Linked DNA regions of Drosophila melanogaster. Changing the gene in region 2 together with the main gene of any one other region gives a genetic interaction. Each region holds a gene or a part of one and is shown on either strand. Other genes may lie near its edges.

Evidence for each region. Genes that interact genetically often act in the same process or in processes that back each other up.
Region 1: of Vrp1 (region 2) and SCAR, changing one enhances a phenotype caused by changing the other (phenotypic enhancement), as found in Drosophila melanogaster (2 studies listed by BioGRID).
Region 3: of Vrp1 (region 2) and dock, changing one enhances a phenotype caused by changing the other (phenotypic enhancement), as found in Drosophila melanogaster (one study listed by BioGRID).

The regions. Positions count from the first base shown.
Region 1 is NT_033779.5:10,974,842-10,982,771, reverse strand, and holds SCAR (SCAR), read right to left. Parts: upstream 6,001-7,930; 5' UTR 5,702-6,000; intron 4,875-5,701; 5' UTR 4,811-4,874; coding exon 4,066-4,810; intron 3,893-4,065; coding exon 3,791-3,892; intron 3,140-3,790; coding exon 3,059-3,139; intron 2,328-3,058; coding exon 1,660-2,327; intron 1,594-1,659; coding exon 1,344-1,593; intron 1,286-1,343; coding exon 1,107-1,285; coding exon of another isoform or gene 1,050-1,106; 3' UTR 377-1,049; downstream 1-376. Other genes in the region: piwi (P-element induced wimpy testis), read left to right, coding at 1-114; ATPsynG (ATP synthase, subunit G), read left to right, coding at 6,482-6,521, 6,611-6,870; abo (abnormal oocyte), read left to right, coding at 7,560-7,930.
Region 2 is NT_033778.4:22,119,561-22,124,199, forward strand, and holds the start of Vrp1 (verprolin 1), read right to left. Parts: upstream 3,003-4,639; 5' UTR 2,333-3,002; intron 1-2,332. Other genes in the region: mei-S332 (meiotic from via salaria 332), read left to right, coding at 3,438-3,914, 3,976-4,639.
Region 3 is NT_033779.5:824,350-831,968, forward strand, and holds the start of dock (dreadlocks), read left to right. Parts: upstream 1-1,619; 5' UTR 1,620-2,158; intron 2,159-4,955; exon of another isoform or gene 4,956-5,107; 5' UTR 5,108-5,186; coding exon 5,187-5,622; intron 5,623-5,795; coding exon 5,796-6,000; intron 6,001-6,388; coding exon 6,389-6,734; intron 6,735-6,827; coding exon 6,828-7,277; intron 7,278-7,364; coding exon 7,365-7,574; 3' UTR 7,575-7,619. Other genes in the region: CG3862 (uncharacterized protein), read right to left, coding at 84-1,448. UniProt on the Drosophila melanogaster protein: Adapter protein that links cell surface receptor tyrosine phosphorylation to downstream signaling pathways and effectors, many of which are involved in regulation of the actin cytoskeleton.

The DNA of each region.
Region 1 (7,930 bases), on a different chromosome or scaffold from region 2:
ACCACACGAGTGCCAGCAGTTTGCCAGTACGCTAAGAAGCTAGCTACCCTCGTGGGTACGAACTTGCACTCTATTCCGCAAAACGCGCTCGAAAAGAAGTTTTATTATCTATAATTGGATATAATTTAGAATGGAGTATTAATCCTTACTAAGAGGCCATATATGAAACTAGCCCAGACATTTATACTTTTTCAATACTTTCTTACTTTTGCTAAGCACTTCAGCATTTATGACTAAATATTTTGTATTTGAAATGCATTACTGCTCTTTTTTCAAACAAAAGCAAAATTGAGGATTAAGATTCTGGTATTTAAGCATAAGACCAGAGGAAATTCCCAAACAAACATTTAAAGTTATCTATCAAGACATGTTCATTAATTTGGAATATAATTACTTTATTTTTTATTGTATATTTTAGTTTATGTAAAGAAAAATTACATACATCCATGTTTGCTTACTTAACCACACATTCATGGCTGCTTATATTCGTGAAACATATTTTATTAATTATACAGGTATTTAACTTTCACAAGGATAATACAATTTCATAGCTTGTTGAGTATACTGAAATGCTACGGAGTTCGATATATTTTAATGTGTTTGTATTTACAAAATTCTAAATTTTCATTTTGGATAAATGTTTTATATTAATCGTATCGATTGCAAGTTGGGGTAGGATTGAGTTCAGTGATAATATCGATTATTTATAATTTAATATCCAAACACCGACTACTATGATACAGAAGCCCATATCTACTCAGACCTTGACTCCAAAGAAGCGAACAAAATTAGCAAGTCTTTTAAATCGCTTTCCTTGGATTGTCGTCTAGGCTTAAAATGCAAATGCGTTCGTTCACTATAGCGATTAATTTAACGATAATTACTCGTTGGTGTATATACAATTCAATGAAACTTTTGATTTTAGACATATTATTTAGGATTAGGTGTATATTGTATAAAGGGTGGTAGAAAAGCTTTGGTGCTTTTGTGTAATCCAATTTCATACCACGCTTGGTTTCGACCATCGTATGGATTAATTCTCTTTGGAATTACTTCTTCTTTTTGTTTTTTAGAATTATGTCAGGCTTTAACGAGTTAATCAGGGATCAAGCCGATGTTTCGTTCGGTTCCATCCAGCCCTCGCTGTCGTCTTCGCTATCCGAATCCTCGGACTCGGATAATTCGATAGCCACACGTCTGGCCAAGATTGAAGCCACATCCAATGGCGCCGCGTTTCGTTCAATTTCCTTTTGCTCTGACTTTTCAACTTTACGTAGAGTAATACCTGGAAAGATTAATTTGATGATATTTTTGCATTCGAACCTTGAATGGCAATTACTTACCATCTCGAATGGCCTTCATCAAGTCGTTGCGTGGGTCATGGAATGGAGGCAGCATCTTCTTGGGTGCGACAATGTGAGGCACACCATTTTGTTGGCCGGGCTGCTGCATTTCGCCATTGGCCAGTGATTTGGGAAGAATTTGATGCGGGCGCAGCGTGTGTTGGTTGCCACTGCCCATGCCTTCCTCGACTGGAGGCGGTGGCGGCGGCGGTGGTGGCGCGGCATTAGGTGGCGACATCTTAGGCGAGTGCTGTAAGGTTTTGCCACAAATTAAACCAAATTGTGATATATTAACACCCATCAGTGAACAACAAACCTGATCTGGAACCGGCGGCGGTGGCGGCAAGTCGCTAAGGGAGTTCAGTTGATTGCCCGTCATACCGATGCTGTGGAAAGTATTGCTCAGTTGCGTCATGACCATATCATTGGCATTCTGGACGCTGTTGGGAGATCCAGCTCCCGACGAACTGTTCGCCCGGCCAAGCAGTTTGGCCGCCATATGCCCGCTGTTGACTCCGTTCATGCCAGACATTGGTGAAATGACGTCTGGAACTGGTGGAGGCGGTGGCAAGGCATCCCGACTGGTCGACATACTTCTGCCCCTTGTCGGAGTGTTGGCATTGGAGGCTGTGGGCGTACCACCACCGCTGCCATTCGATGGCGGAGCCGGTGGCGGCTGCGACGGACGCGGTTTGTTACGCGACGGTGTTCCCGGTCCGTAGATGGGCTCCGGCGACATCACTCCCTGTCCAGTTTGGCCGTACAGCGCATGCGACTGATACATTCCGGCGTCATACATCTGCTGATGCTGCATGTGCATCTGCTGGGGGCCACCCATGCCGTTGCCGAAGGTGGCAGCATACTGATTACCCATCTGCGGTGGAAGCTGCTCGTAGGTGCTACCATCGATCTGCTCCGACTGATAGCTTCGGTTCAATTCGATCGAGTTAGGACGTGGCGGACGTGTATCGTACACTCCCATATCTAGAATAATGAATGTGAGATATTAGAGCCGTTGACTAACCACCCATTAAAATGAACGTTTTTACAGGACACACATCTCATTTAAAAACACGCCAATTATTTTGTAATTACAGCCGAGGAACAATAAGACACATATGTAATTACAAGCAATTCCAAATTTCTGTGCATATGAGACCGCTGGACTCGAATAGAAATTTTGTTGAATATACAAACATCCGATTAAAAGTCTTTGTTAGCTCGTTGCACAGAAAACAATTTAGAGATACTTTCGTAGAATAAGATGTGGCGACAGAAAGGAATTAGTAAAGCTGCAGAGTGACATGTAGACGTAGATATGGAAATTGACTGAACTACAACAGAAAGATAGGAGGATCCTAAACAAAAACTGCGGCTCAATCACGAATCGCGAGTATGAAATGAATTAAAGTATTATGCAAAATGCAAGATGCATTGTAAATATAATGTGCACACACATTACATTAAAATTGCAAGTTAGAAGGTGACTAGTTTACAGTGTTTTGAGATAATAAATCTGCACTTTGCATGACCAATGAAACTCATAAATCATCGCCATTCCGATTGATAGTTTGAAAAAGAGAGTGTTCTCTGTACACACAAATGCTAAAGGAACTCAAAAAGGATTGCTAGTAAGGTAATATGGGGATAGAAGCGAGTGAAAGAACATATATAGTCTTTACTGAGCTTGCTAAAAGTGGATGTGGATGTCTAACCTGCAATCGCAACGGCGGTTTGCTTGGTGACATTACTGTTATTCTCCAAATGCGAAAGCATATTATAAGGCTTTACTGTATCTGTAAATGAGATGGTTATGCGCGATTGATCCATTCGTAATTGCAATGCATATTTATGTTCACGTTCATTAATATCATAACCGAAAACAACGAAAGAGTAGTTCATAAAAACAACATGCAAATAAATAAAAGCTGCGAAAAATAATCGACCATTCGGAGAATGAAATTGTAAGGTTCTCTGACCGTATTGTATTTACCATCAACAAGACGAACTTCATTGGAACAAAGTCAGTGAATTCAAATTAGAGACAAATCAAGTTCGAAAGTCTTGCTAACTTACAGGAGGATGAACTAGACTGGCCATAGACCATTTTGCTAATGGTGTAATAATAATGAATTAGATCGAATATATCCTGTATCTGAGATTTTAATCAAACTTTAGATGGAATTTATGTTAAGTACCATTTCATTTATTTTTTAAGCTCTGGAAACTTTGTTTCGGTCACCTTTCTCTGGGTCATGATTGTGTGGGTTAATTTCAATTAATAGCAACTTCAAAATAATACAAATTAGTGATCTTCGAACTGGGTTTTGAGGCGCATCGAAAACTAGCGAGCTTTTGAGTGAAGTAGGTGAATGAATGGCGGGTACATCTGTATCGTGGGATGTCTGCCGGGCGGAAATGAAAGCTACGTGGCCCCATCATCGTACCTACGTCTTGGATATTACCGACAACTTGGTGGTGCGCATCGAGAGTGCTATGCCGCAAATCGATGTCAGCCTCGCCCACAGTCTGTATTTTGACTAGCTGAACTACACGGGCAGACAGGACATAATTGATAATTAAAATAGATGTACCATTCAATAGGCAAGACAAGTGCAAATAGTCAGTGCGCGAAACGAACGTACCAATAACAGCCTATGAATTTGGTTCGCACTGAATACTTGGCTCACACGGAGACCAATCCCTTTCGCCAAGTACTTACTTCCGTATCCGGCTTCTTCGTTGACCATGGAATTCGGTGTGCGGTAGATGACGTTGTTGGGCATCAATGTTTCGCCGTGCACCAGTGCACGTTGTCGCTGCTGTTCGCGCGTATTGTGCGGCACCCTTATTTTGGTCTTCTGTTTCTTATTGCCACGTCCAGCAGCTCCGCCGGCACCGCCATCCTGCCGCGGTCTGTTCAGCTTCTTGCCCTTGTCGTGCATCACACGTTCGGTATCCTTCAGCATCTCCTGTCGCCACAACTCAAAGAAGTAGTTCGGATCCGTGTAGAACTTAAGACCATCCTTGCCATCGTCTCGATAGACATTAAGCTTGTCGAGGGGCGGCGGTTTGTCGCACTGGGCATATGTGTCCATCATTGGTGCCGGCATGGTGGCGCGCGAGAAGATCTGTTGATCAAAAACCTTGGCCGACTTGAAGGCCTTCTTTCGGGTAATGTCCGTCAAGGGCACCTCCTCAACTGTGCTGTCCAGCTGGGTAACTTTGATAGCTAGGCGATCGATGCGCGCCTGCAGGGAGTTAGCTCGATCCCCGATGTTGCCCACGTCGCGGGCCAGTTCACCGAACACATCCTCTGCGTGCTTGGACAGCGAGGACAGCTGGCGAATGATGTTCGTCAGCGTGGTGTTGGTGACCGTCTCCAGCTCCACGGATTGCAGCTCATCCTGCTGATACACGGAGCGGGCCACATGCACGGGTTCTATGGATCGTTTGGGCAGCGGCATGGTCGGGCGCGATTGACAATTATCTCCAAATTGGCAAACCCGTAAATTAGTGCGTCCTCATCGACTGAAAACGGCATTAATAAGTAATAAATTGTTTTAATACGAATTAATGCATTTAAAATTAATTAAATATAAAACCCTTTATTTACTGATTTACTACATAATCTCATGCCAAATTGGGATCAATAATAAAAAGATTTCTTTTTATGCTGATTATCAATTGAAGACATTTCATTCCGATAAAATTGTACTTCCCAAATTGTCGTTTAACTTTGTTTATAAATTTTCCCGTAAAAGTAGACGTTTAAAAAGTTAATTGGATACTATCAAAATTGGTTTAAAAGAAATTTTGTCATCACTATACTAAACCGTCTATGAACAAGACTCAGAATGGTATTGCAGAAGATTTCACGAGACGCTTATCCATGTATCCATGAGACGTGTTCATTACAATCACCAAAATGCCATTTGAATTGTTTTGTGATATGCGCGACTGACGAACTCGACGTCTGGACCACACCCCACGAAACGATACCCACAGCGAGGTGATAAGGGCGTAACGCCCAAGTCACCCCCGCAAGATGCACCTTGCAGTCCCGGCGAGATTAGTCGATAATGCCCCCCTTTTCGGTGGCAGTTTCTGGGTGCTACGACCTGGGGCCTTTACGTGGGCACCTATTCCATACGTGCATATACGTATATCGTCGGCGGCCTCCCACCAACGCAAATTAGACCGTCACGCACTCACACACACGCATGAACCGCAGCAGCAGCAGCACCCAAGTAAATGTACATACATATGTGTGGGACGGAACGGCTGACTCTTTCAGATTTTCGCACTGAAACATTCGCACTAAATCGCAACAATGCACACACAAAGGTATCTCTCACACTTTCTAATCGTAGTGGCTGCTGCGATTTTGATTTTGGTTTTGAACGGCGCAGCTTAGTTTTACACAGTCCACCTCACTTTACAGCATATCGTACACTCACCGCCCGTCACACTTTTCGTTTGGCGGCTGGCACCACAACAAACATTAAGCAGCCACTTCCGTTTCGGGGGTTCGGTGGCAAATTCGATCCGATGCGAACTCTAATTAGCCAATTTGGGGCTTGAAAACTGCAAATATTTGCTCGTTTTGTGGAAACTAAGATTTCCACACCTTTGCAGTGTGACCGAAGCTTTGTGGTTCGAAAATACTGCAGGGATTCATCATTTCGGAAAATCAGACAAATATACTGCACGATGCGGTGGGGAAAAAGTTATTTTTATATTAAATGTAATATGTATTTTAATTACTATATTTAAATAAATTTTGCAAGGGAATTTTCAGTAACTCATTTCATATTGTTTATTTACTGTATAGAATGAAATATTTTAAATATAAATATATATTCAATTTATTTTATTTTATTTTAACTCTATATTATCCATAATAAGCTATTTTATTAACGTTATTTAAAATTACTGTTTGCAGTTTCTTCCATTAACTTTAGAAATGTATATTTGGTATTTTTGGTATTTATCCGCCGATCGATAACTAGTGCTCCAGCCCTGGCCCCAATGCATAACATCTCTGTTTCGTCGCACACTGAATAGGTAAGTTTTCCGCACATTTCGTTGATTTCCTCTTGTATAATTCCAACTGCTTGCAGAACCAAATTGAAAAGATGGCGAGTTTGGCTACCAAGGGATCAGGACTTGTGAACAGTGAGTGTCGTGAATCGAATGCAATCGAATGGATACACCACCATTGGCGCCTGTCAATCGCAAAATTATGTAATGATCACTTTTTGCAGGGCTCCTCACACAGGCGAGGCCCCAACTGGACGTGTTCCTGAAGTACGCCAAGGTGGAACTGACGCCCCCGACGCCCGCCGATATTCCGGCCATTCGCCAAGGACTGGGCAACATCATCAAGGGAGCCAAGACCGGCGCCTACAAGAACCTCACGGTTCGCGAGGCCTGGCTTAACACCCTGGTGACCGCCGAGGTCATCTTCTGGTTCTACATCGGCGAGTGCATCGGCAAGCGTCACATTGTAGGCTACAATGTCTAAGCTTACTATAGTCTCCGCTTGGCAGTCACTGGAATGGGCAACGTAATCCCTAACAGATGTGTATATTTATATGTCTGCGAACATTTCGACTCTGAATAAAGTGAAATAGTAATTTAAAATTCCGAAAATTTTCGAAAAATACATTGTTTTTTGAAAACCGTTAGAACGTTTGCGCGGGATTTGTGTAAGCTAAAGATGAGGTGATGTAAAACCAAGTTTGGAATTAAAAGTTGACGATATTTAATGATAAAAATTAAAAAAATATATGTAATGTTATACATCAAATGTTTATGAAACGGTGTCGTAATCAAAGAGGCTAATGGTTCAGAAATACATAATATACTTAGAGCATTTAAAAGCACTCAAGAATAATTTTATTTAAAAAAAAAAATAAATAAATCTAAATTTGCTTTTCATAGATAATTCATTTACACATTTTTTTAAACAAAGTAAAGTAAGATGTATTGAATTATTTTATTTATAAATAACGTTTTTTATTTGAATCTTGAAAAGCATTAATATTATTATTATTATACTTATATTTTTTAACAACAAAACTTTTGTAGACAGAGTAAATTTTTGTAATCTAACTGCGGTCACACTTTACTTTAGTTACCTTCCGATCGGAAGAAGAACCCGGCTGACATTAGGAATAGGAACTTGGCAGAACTTTCCCAGGATCTGTCAGAATGGCCTACAAGAAGCGCCTACAATCGCAGAACCTCGTGCATCTGCTGCAGAACCGCGAGTCCGGATACACCAACGTGGGCCAACAGCCGGGCAGGATGCCGCTGTTGGCCTACGAGCGTCTCTTCTACAAGTGCATCACGCCTTGCCTGACAATTGACTCGATTACCATTCCGCCGATCTACCTGCGCAAGTTTACGCCGGATGGCAGAAAACTGTTGGCCTTCTCGCAGGATCAGCGCAGTCTGCTCATATACAGCTACGGGGGTTCTAGTTGTGCGGCGGTGGGTGAACTGATTCGCCAGGCGGATGTAGGCAGTGGCGAGTGCTTCAGTAGCCAGGACACCATACTCAAGAGCAGGATCTTTGAACG
Region 2 (4,639 bases):
GTGTGATGTAAGGCCCATATTTGCTTACAGATAAATATTGCATTGTTGCACTTGATGTGGCTGTTTCAGTTGCTAAGCCCGTTGTTGCCGGCGGGTCTATTAAAATGCGGTTTTCAGCACCGTCGCACAATGCTTAAATAACTAATGTAAACACATCATGAGAGTCGAGACGAGACAACGATGAACTCAATGACAACAACGGTGTTGGGTTCGCTAGTTTGCATACACTACACATGGAAAAAAAGAGCCACTAACAGCTCTTAGAAACAACAACCCGGTCATTCTAAGTGCCTAAGAAATAAATACTCAGCTAAACATCCTCATGTGCCAATTCATTTTTTAGTCGGATAAGATTCGAAATGGGAAGTTGGTCTTCCTCTTTGAACATTGAATCACTTTCAAAAAAATTACTTTCATGCTTAAAGCACATTGAGAGAGAGGAGTGTTCGCAGTGCAACTGCAAATGTGATGTGAACACAAGTCAAACACAAACTATGAGTCACCGGGGCACCGAGGAAGCGAAAGCCCTCGGCATGGGGCTCGAAACTGTAGTCAGAAATCGGTGTGCTGGAGAGCTCACTGTAGTTTTATGATTCAGTTCCAGGTTGCACAAGGAAGTGCAGCATAATTCAGCGTCATAAAGGCTGACAGAAACGACCGACTCTCTCTCTCTACTACGTGCCAATCAGACCTCGTGTGATGCAGTGCTCGAAAAATGCACGACAGCCAATTCGACTGACAAATGGCCGCACACAAGGCCGACAAGTGCCCACTCCCCGTGGCCATAAAACCCCATATCCACACCCCGTGCCCCACACACCTTCACCTCCACCCTCCCTTCAATCACCAGTCTTTGCGTGTGTCACTGCAGCAGCACTCGATATTTCTGTGTGTACTTGCAGTGGGGCATGCACAACAGCCTCGACAATAGACCGGCAGCAGGCAGACTCCTGGACGGGATGCCATGGAATGGGACGTTGGGATGGGTCGGTGCCATGTGCCCACCGCTGCCATGGCCTACGCCACGCCAATGACATTGAACCCGGCGACTGGGACGACCCTTTGTGCCATGCATAGCATTACGGAAAGGAGCTCGAAGCCCATTCACACTTGTGGATGGTTTAAAGAGCGCACTAAATTGGCCACGAGGGTTATTTTCGGTACAGAGAAAAGAAATTACTTATAACAACTTCTATAGTCTTGTATTTCAATGTTTTGATATCTGTTTTCCACCATCGCAGAGTAGTAAAGCATTTTAGAAATGAGAATATAAACAAGACGTTCCTCGACTATCAGATATTCGTTGCTCAGCTAATGGGAGTGCTGGACAACTGGAACCCGGACACCGGTACCACGACACCAGAAGTTGCACGCTTAAGCTAAAACTTGTGACTAACTCTACAAGTAATAAATCTAATGTAAAGATTGCGATTGTATGCCTCTTCAAATGGCTATAGTAAGAGCCCAGATTATGTCATACCATCGAAGTTCAACCGCCACAATTCGCACTCACATCGCTGAAGGGAGCCAAGCGAATGAATCAACCCCTAGTCAGCGAATTTAGTTTTCGTCGGCCGTCGAGCAATGCACTCTTTGTAGGTCAGTTATGGGGTGGCATGGGTGGCCACATGCTCCATGGGTCTTCGCTGGTGTTGCAACACTTGGTGTCGTCATGCGTCGCGTGCCCGGGCGTTTTGCTTAATGTGATTAAGACAAAGCGACAACAAACCAAAACAAAGTGCATTCGCTGACGGAACAGGAGAAAATCAAAGCGACCCGAGTTTATTGCACCCCTTTTAGCCGGTTAGACGGTGGAAAAGGCTTTTCGTGTTCTCCGACACAGGAAAAAATAAATTTCATGCAAGCTCAAATATTAAATCAAATCGGGCAAGACATGGACTGTCGGCTATACTTAGAATATATGCAAATAATGGTGATTAATCTGGAATATGGACATATGAATAAATATTATAAAAAGTCTAAATACAGCTGCCTACTAACGCTGGTATGTGTTTGTTTATTGTGTACCTCGAGGCTATAAGATATAGCCCCATATCTTGGAAAATGCAATTTTACATACACACAACCATTAGTCGCAAATATCGTGGCGAAATTGTCGGAGGGCGCGATAAGATAATTGCCTACATGGAACTGGTACCGAAGAGGTTCCTGAACTTGCCATAAATTACCAAATTTCTGGGCACCGTGCGAAATAGAATTGATAAGGTCGCTCGATAAGTCCGTACCACTTCGGATTCTGAGTGCTGAGTGATGCACTCAATCGACTAAATGGGTACAAAGCCAAACGAGTTGGATTTACAAACAGACTCACCTTGAAGCGGGTTTCGGTTTTCGACTGCGGTCGTAGCTTCTGTGAATGAAATTCTCGGTTCTCTGGGCTGCTGGCTGTCTTCGGTGTTTCAGCAGGTGATTGTCGTGATTCTCTGGCGGAGATGAAACAGCATAGCAAGCGGTTCCCTAATGTATTTTTCCGAAACTATGGTGTATAATCCGTATCCGTGTTCCTAAGTTAAGTTAATCCGCGCGCTAGATCCGTCTATCGTTTTTCGAGTGCACAGGTGTTGCATGTGATGTGTATCGTGTCCTGTGAGTGCGGGGGGAAAGTCCCTCCCACTGTTGGTAAGAATTGTAGAAATGTGTAAAAGCCTGGCTAAATGCCTAAAAGACGTACAACGACGATACAAATCCGACTGATTTTCATTTTTACACAAACACACGCACACTGCGACAGCACACTCTCACTCACGTACACGCACGCACACACTGCCAGGTGGGCTGACTTCTGATTCAGTGCGATTTTCGCGTTCTGCAAGGTGTATCTACAACCTCCCGAAACGCGTATTCACTTCGATTTCCGGGTTCTAGCGCTGCAGCATTGTTTATCTACCACGGATATCCAGATTTTCTTCGCAATCGGTCGAGAAAACAATAAATTTATTGTGCAGCTTAGAGGTGTAAGAGAAACATAGACGTATCGATGTCTCTCGATGGTTTGTGCCTATCGAAATCGGTGTCCCGCAATATACACAGCTTCCACTAAGCGAAATTTTAGCATTTTGGCATACGTGTAGAATTTAAATGGAAAATTACCCTTGGTAACGCATGTACGATCAAATTCGCACCAACTCAACGGTTCCTAATTCTTGTCGTGCAAATGAGACAAACAAATTTATAATTATTAAAATAAAATATATTCACATCGGATTGTATTGTTTCTTATATATATGGCCCAAAATTAAAGAATTTCATTTTAATTAAGAGCATGGTCGGCGTTGCCATACTTTCAAAAAGTTTTCCTTAAGCTGGGGTATATTCCAATAGCACAACAACGGTCACTCTATTTCAAAATTCAAAACAAGCTATTGGCGTCGTCTGTCTGGATTTTGTGTATGGAATAAGTAGATCAGAAGAAGCAAATGGGATCCAAAGTGGAGCAGCAGTACAAGCTGCTGAATGCGGAGCTAATGGACCAAGTGCAGAAGCAGCGCTTGGAGATCGGCGAGTACAGGAAGCGGGTGATATCTTTGGAGCGAGAGATCATGGACATTCGGGAGGAGCACGTCCTGCAAAACCATCGCCAGCGCATGGAGAACATCAGTATCGTACGCAGCCTGATGCTGAGCCTGAACGTGGACTCCGATTCCCTGGCAGTGCGTCAGGAGCCCGCTCCCGCAGCTCAGATAAACAGACCAAGCGGCCCGCGTCGCAGCTCCAGGGAAATCTGCAAGGACATGCGACGGACGTGTGCGTTGGCCCGCACCACCAGACCAATCTCGCCAAGAAGATCTTCCTCAGTGACCAGTACTGTATCGTCCACTAGTCGCCGCTCCAGCGCAGAAGTGCAGTCCGAGGTGGTGACCACTAGGATACCAGAGGATAGAAGAGCCAACAAGGTAACTTATACTTAAATTTGATTATGCTTTTCTTAACGATTCATTATCGGCTTGAGTACAGCCTACACCACCGCCACGAAGACCAGCGGAATTAGTGTTTGATGAGGACGACTCGGACGATGATTTCGACGAAGCAGTAAGCCCCGTGGAGGAGACACAGACTGAGCAAAATGAAGAGAACAATCGTCTGTTTAGCATTATAGAGGAAAATGGCAGTGAAGGGGAGTCCACAGACTCGTCATCATCATGCGAGGCCATCTATTGCGACACAACGTTTGAAAGTAGTCCGCCAAACGCCCAAGTCACCGTCACGCCCAGTGGACGGGCTCTGCGGGAAGTGGACACCAATATCCCTGTAGCAGTGTCCCTCAGTCGGGGAAAAGAGACTGGGAAGGGATCATGGTTGGCTATTTCCGTAGCTGTGGAAGATTCTCCACAGGAGCCAAGCATACAGTGCCCACGACTGGCAGTCACCAGGCCTAGTCAATCGTCTGGAATATTTCCTGATGTCAACGGATTAACGCCGCGAAGAAGCCTGTTCAATGGGATAGGCAAAATGGCCGGAAGCACCAGCACTCCGAAATCCTTTCTCGTCGAGGAAATGCCATCTATAAGAACTAGAAGCCGAACTGCGGCTAATAAGAAATCAGAAAATACGGATATGTCTAGTTCTTTCTGCAACAACAGCGCAAGGCCGAGTAGAAGCTGCAGGCCCACCAGTTTGG
Region 3 (7,619 bases), on a different chromosome or scaffold from region 2:
TTTATTGGTTGGGCTGCCACTGGCAATAGTATTTTCGACTAGAGTATACTTTAAGTTAACTAATCTAAAACAAACAGCTTAATCTAGAAGAACGGCTTGCACAAGGCAATGGTGTGATCCACTCCGTAGGCCACTTTGGTGACCTTTCCGTTGATGGCCGCCTTAAAGGGAAAGAACTGGTCCTTCTTGTGTCCCAGCCCCAGATGCCCGAACCTGTTCTTGCCCCACATGAAGAGATCTCCGTCCGAGTTGACGGCGCCCATGTGAAACACTCCGCATCCGATGGAAACCACTGTGGTTTCGTTGCTGAAGTCATTTCGTCCGAATAAAGGCGGCAACAGATGCTGCGGCTTGGATGTTTGCTCCACGAAGGGTCCGAAGCCGAGGATGCCAAAGCCCCAGGTGTACACCAGACCCTGGTCGTTGAGGGCCATGCAAAATGAGCCTCCCGCAGCCACATCCTTGATTTTCCCGATGGACTTCGTTAGTTTGAGAGCTCTAGGGATATTTATTTGGGTTTCGGCCAGCTCTGAGTCATCTAGCTGTCCGTACTCAGAATTGCCCCAGCCAAAGGCATCGCCCGCCTCGTTAAGGGCCAAAACGCAGTCCGAGGAGCAGCTGAGCCGCACAATCTTCTCCTTTTCCACATCTCCTCCAATCAGGGTTATCTGCCCGGCGGTGTGGTAGTTTCCCTGACCTGTTTGACCATCCGCACCCCAGCCACATGTGTAAATGCGTCCCTTTTTGGTAAGAAACATGCTGTGGTCCTGGCCGCACTCCACCTGGACCACCTCATCCTCCTTGCCGCATATATCTTCCTGCGATATCCTGTGGATCAGGGCACTCTTGCTGTACCGCTCCTCCTCTATGATGGAGCGGCCACATTGGCCGTACGAATTGTTTCCCAGGGTGAAAATGGTTCCGTTTTGGGTCAGAACCACCAGGTGAGCTCTACCCGCCGACATGCTCTTCACACGCATGTCCTCGTCTGTTTCTCCCTGAACTCTCGGCAGTTTAATGGCTGTAGGATAAATGATCACGTCAAGGTTGGCCGGATCATTGGGATTTCCCTTCACCTGGAAACCCAGTTGGGAGTCGGTGTTCAAACCGCTGCCAAAGAGCGTCTCTCCGTCATCTCTATTCACGGCGTAGACCGTGAACCCGTAGCCGGCGGCCACATCCGTGATTTCGTTGTTGTTGGAGAACTGCAAGCGGGTGGGATGGTGCACCATCTCCGTGTAGCGTTCCTTGGCCTTCTTCACGTTGGTCTGGAGACCGAGAGCGCCGGTTTCCTGAAAGCCCCACACGTAAACTCGGTGCTCATGGCTGTCCGTCGTCTTCGGTGAGTACTCCTTGATCTTCGACTTGTCCTGCGCCAGCACACCCCTCTTCGCCTTGGCGGTGTACGACCTGCTGATGCCAAGCACAATACCCCGAGTTTTCAGCATGGTATTTCGGGTTAAACCAACCATGTAATCCAAAATCATAACAAAAACGCCACCCGATATCGATAGACCCGATGACCGGACAAGTGCTGCACAGCGCGCAACGTGCTTATCGATAGTTCGCTAAGAAAAACCGCTGATACGCCACCTGACAGCCCTGGTCGTGGTCAATCGCTATCGCCTTCCGCACATCGAAATCGGATGGGCGACGTGAAAGAAACGGCTCCGGCAAAATCATTAAAATTTAATTAGTTAACCGCAAGAGAGCGCTGCAAAATTGTGCAAACAATTTGCCACTTAACGCAGTTAACGTGTGCGGTAATCAGAAGCGTGGAAAAGCGTTTATTTGTCAGGATTTGTGTGTTTTTCAATCGCGGCAGCAGCATATGTACACACACACAGGCTCACCCCCGCCCCACTCACACACACACACTCACGCCTAGGTGTATTATAATTAAAGTTGTGTTTTAAGTGTGTGTAAAGTGCAATAGCCCAGTGGAAAGTGGAAGTGATATAGAGTGCGTTCCAGGAGTTCCAGGAGCAGTGTCTTATCCCATGTCTTCCACTCCCAAATCCTGAGGATTGCCAAGGGTTAAGACCGAGAAATACGGACTCCGACTTTCCGGATAAGGATACGGATACGGATAAGGAGTGCCAGGATAAGGAGATCCAGGAGGAATATAGGAGTTGCCAGTCCAACCGCTTCGTCTCCGGTAGGTACACACAAAATATTCGGCTGCTCCTTTTTAGCTCCTGTTCGAATCTCTCACGGCTCTCTCTCTCGGCTCTCTCTCTCTCTCTCTTGACCTGCGCTCTCTCTCTTTATCTCGCCCTCGTCACCTGGTGGTGCGTAGTCCTTTGGCTCGGTCCACCACCCGCCCAGTGGGCGGTGCTGCAACCCTTAGCCCTCCGCTTTCCATCACCTTTTTTTGGGTAACCATGGTCGTGTTTACGGCAAACTGTGCCACCGATATATATGTGTGTACATATGTACCCTTTCCCTTGTCTAGATAGATGAAACAGATAAATCGTGAAGATGCTTCACTTACCATAAATCTATAATATGTTCATTGCTCAAATACTACTATAGTAGGTACTTGTGTTTTTCAAAAGCCTGTGCCAGGTACAAAAGCTTGTACTCTTAACAACACTGGGAACGAGTCCTGCCATCCTTTGCAGGACGAGAAGTCCACCCTCTCGCTGCCAAAAAGCCACCACCTCGCAGAGATTTTGCGCAGCATCTCTAAACGAAACGGCCGGCAAATGTCGCAAACTCCCTCGGCAACAAAAGCCAAAAAAAAAATACAAAATACAAAAAACAAAACCGAAACCGAAACCCCATTCGAATCCCATTCCCCAGCAAAAGCATCTACTTAATCAACCCGGGCGGGAGTGGACTCCCAGCTCCCTGAATGAGTGATCTTATGTAAACAGGCTGCCCTTTGCCTCCCACGCCCCGAGATCCAGATAAGAGTGCCCCACTTTCAGTTCCTCCATGGCTGCCCCATCCATCCACCGAAGTCGTAACTCAATGTTATAGACCCAAATGCTCCCGTTTCGGGGCCACCAATTCGTTCGTGATGGCTTTTCTTGGGGACCAATGACTATACTCCCTCGTCTGGAACCGATCTTCAACCAATACACAGACACAGCACGGGGAAACAAACTTTCCGCCTCATAAACTTGTGGGCTTGTCCCCCAAGCACGTGCAACTCTTTCTTTCTCTCAGCGAAAAGACGAACTGCTGTCAGGAAAACAATGAACGAGTGCACCGGAAAAAAACATAAATGTTTGTCATACGGGAAGCTAAGAAATCATACCACAAAGAATTCTTTAAAAATATATATTCATTTATTGCAGTAGCAGTAGGGAATCTTATCAAATCATAGTTCATAATATATTTTTTGACAATTTCTCCGCGCTAACGAACTTATCAGCAAGTTCCTTCCGATTTCTTCGGATTTTATCAGCAGTGTAATGTCAATGTCTCGGCTGTTGGGCTTATGCAAGCGCAAACAATAACAAAACAATCACCAAGCCAAAGAAATCCAAACACCGATCCGAATCCAACGGTGGTGCATTTCAGTTCATTGGCAGCCAGCCAGCCAGCCAGGCGTTTCATGTTTACCAAGTCCCCAAGCGAACCGAACTGAACCGCCCCCTTATCACTCCAGCATTTGCATAAATATAATCTTTTTCGGGTTCTTTCTCCGTTTCTATCTGGGTTCGGTTACGGTTTCACTCCCGCTTTCTCCTCTCAAAAAATAGGGAAAACACACAGACAATTCGCACAACAGTGAATCACTTTGCGACCAATGCTTCGGTTAAACAGGTACTTCTCCGTATCTCTAGCTAACGCAAAAACCTTTGACTAATCGATGGTAAAGTAAACAAAAACACTCGTTATCACATGGAGATTATTATGGCCAAAATTCGAACAGGAAGCACGATTAGAAGTTTACCGGCAAAACAAATTTATGCATTGCCTGCATTTCTTATTATATACGTATGGGTCAGTTGCTAATAGATATTGCACCGAAATGCCAGAATTGAATGGCATTAGAGCTCTCGAAAACACTTTCAGCTGACTCAGCCTCTCGTGTATGACCTAACAGTCATTGAAAAGCGAAACCAAGATTGGCCTAGAGTCAAAGACCGAGTAGAGCGTTTTCTCAACGTGGCCCACACTTATTGATTTTTAATTATCCAAAGATGGCCCTCGGCTATGACATTGACTTTGATTTTGTTGGCTCGCCAACCTGGCCAACGAACTCGGGAAGCCTCTCTAGAGATCTCTGGCCGAAATAACCTTCTGTGCCGCCCGCTAACTGCCTTATGTCACTCGGTAAATCTCGGTTAAGAAACCAATTTCCCAATACCCCCGACCATTCACGTTCGTGACTCATTGCGGTCGAATGTCTCAGTTGATTTCTGTGTCTTTCTTGGCCTGAAATGGCCCGGATTTTGAGTCTCTGGTTCTCCAGCCTCGGTGAGGCTGCCCCGTTGAACAAATCAATACCCGATGGCCACTTATTCGCTCGCCTGGCAATTGGATTCAATTGAGTGGAGTCAGTCGGAGGCAACTTTCACTTGCACAGATTTTAATTGCCCCACAACTGGAATGGCCAGATCCCTCAGCCCCCATATCCATCTCCCGCTCATATTATCATCATCATGATCATCACAACACAAACACTTCACTCATTCATCTTCATCGCCGGCTCGCTGACCCCAAAAACAAACATTCATCTCTCGGCTAATTTTGAGTTGATTTCCTATTTGGTATTTCGAGTTTGAGTACTTGCATTGTATTTTTTAAGCTAATCATTTTTACGCTCTTTAGCTTCTTCAGTGCGAAACAATTAAGCCTAATTTGCATATATCATTTGCTCTCTTTTTCTTTCTTTCTTCGTTCGTTGCTTATGTTATTGCGTTGCTTATGTTTACTTTGCCACGCCTACGCTTCCGCCCACGCTCACGCCCATTCGCCCCCTGAAACCACGCCCACAGCAATTATGCATTGGCTAGAGGCGATTTGCAGCAAGCTTAGAGTGCCAGCGAGCAACTGCAACACATAACCAAACCATCAAAGACTTGTTGTTCATCAACTCCAACCCCAACTCCAAGTCCACCAACACTGAGCCACCGCCTCTTGCCTCCAGGAGCATCACCAGGAGCATCAGGGCAGTCCCAGCTGGAGGAGCAGGAATCCCCCCGCGGCGGAGGAGCAGCCAGTCTGGAATGTTGGAACACCCCCAGCGGTTTGTGCGCAACATCCCCGACTCCTCAGCCAGTTCGCAGCAGTATCCGCAGCAGCAGCAGCATCCGCCACAGCTGCCGCAGCACCAGAATCTGAATCTCAACCAGAATCAGAACCTGAACCAGAATCAGATCTACCAGTACCGTCCCCAGGTGCCCGTGCCCGTTCCCGGCTCACCTGCCCATCACCAGCGGCACTCTTCGCTCTCCCAGCAACAGCAGTTGCACCACCACCGCACCCTGTCCACCGCCTCCTCCTGCAGCGCCCAGCACAAAAGTGTGACCTTCGGCCAGCCAGCGCTCGACTGCGGCGGCAACGGCAGCGGAAGCGCCAACGGAAGCGGTAGCGGCAACTCCTCCAGTGGCAGTGCCGCCGGCAACGCTGGAACCCAATCAATGGCGGGCAACATGAAGCACGGTGAGCAACTGCAACACAATAACCTCACAGCGAGAAGAGCATTGGGTGTAGTAAAAGGATCTAGGATTTGTATGCTAATGAATTTGTGGTTCTATCATACTGGCCCATTTTGCTTTTCTAACTGTGTGTGCACTTGGTACTCTTCTAACCTGTTCCTGTTAATCACTCCGCAGGCAAATCTCAGGACGACGTCTGCTACGTGGTAGCCAAGTACGACTATGCGGCGCAGGGTGCCCAGGAGCTGGATCTGCGCAAGAACGAGCGCTACCTGCTGCTGGACGACTCCAAGCACTGGTGGCGCGTCCAGAACAGTCGCAACCAGTCCGGCTACGTGCCAAGCAACTATGTGAAGAAGGAGAAGCCCTCGCTCTTCGACAGGTGCGTCAGATTCCTGGCCCGACTAAACCTAAGCGTTCTTCTTGCTCTGATTTCAGCAGAATTAAGCCCTCTATACCTGTATCTGTATCCGTATCCGTAGATGTATCTGTATCTCTATCGCGTTCAAATACCCGCCTCCACCTTTTGCTTTGGCTATCGTAATTTAACTTATAACTGCTTTCGGCTTTTGTATTTTGTATTTCAAAACAACAAATTCGTTTTGATTTCGTTGTCTGTCGAGCCCCACTTGCCCCTAAAAACTAAAGATCCACTAACACCCAAACCAACTAGGGCTAGTCTAACCCACTTTAAACCGCCAATGAAATCTAACCATAAAACTTCATCCCAATACTGATCGTGAATATTTTGATTTACGATTTCTGTGCAGCATTAAGAAGAAGGTGAAAAAGGGCTCCGGATCGAAGACACTGCCTAATTGTTCGCCTTCGCGACAGGTCGAGAGTCCAACCATGTCGCGCCGACTTCCCCCAGATCCCGCAGAGGCCATCGGAACGGCTGTGGTCAAGTATAACTATCAGGCCCAGCAGCCCGATGAACTTTCGCTGACCAAGGGCACACGAATCCTCATCCTGGAGAAGTCCAACGATGGATGGTGGCGTGGACAGAGCGGCAATTCCGTCGGCTGGTTCCCCAGCAACTACACAACGGAGGATTGTGATAACGACGGCGAGATCCACACCTACGCAATGGCCGAGAACGTGCTTGATATTGTGGTGAGTAACTGGACGTGTTCTCAAAATAAACATTCACATCATCTATGAGAGGTTGTCATTATTGGCTAATAACAACTATTTTCAAATATATAGGTCGCGCTGTACAGCTTCACGTCAAACAACGACCAGGAGCTCTCGTTCGAGAAGGGCGATCGCTTGGAGATCGTGGATCGGCCCGCCTCCGATCCGGACTGGTACAAAGCTCGCAACAATCAGGGCCAAGTCGGTTTAGTTCCACGCAATTATCTCCAAGAGTTGAACGACTACCTGGCCACGCCCTATCGTAATGCGAGTGCCAGTGCAGGAAACGGAAATGGAGGAGGAAGTAATGGCGGCGCAGGTGGTGGCGGAGGAAACGACTCCATGGAGCGGCGCAATGAGGGTAATAAGCCGGCGGCGCAATCTTCCGGCCAGCCAATCGAGCGGCCAAATCTGGCGGGCAAGTCGTGGTATTATGGAGCCATCACCCGCAGCCAGTGCGACACGGTGCTCAACGGCCACGGGCACGATGGCGACTTCCTCATCAGAGACAGTGAGACTAACGTAAGTGGAATTCGCAATTGAAGTGCCATAACATAGTTCCGCCCGAATTCTTTGAGAGTGTATAAACGAATTCATCCTTTCTTGCAGATGGGAGACTATTCGGTTTCGTTAAAGGCCCCAGGGCGCAACAAGCACTTCCGCGTGCACGTGGAGCAGAACATGTACTGCATTGGGCAGAGGAAGTTCCACTCGCTGGACCAACTGGTCGATCACTACCAAAGAGCGCCCATCTACACGAATAAGCAGGGCGAAAAGCTGTATCTGGTGCGATCGCTGCCGAAGGCCAATGGCACGTAAGCAGGTCCAGGACTGGAGCAGAGAAATCTCAGCATTCATATTACC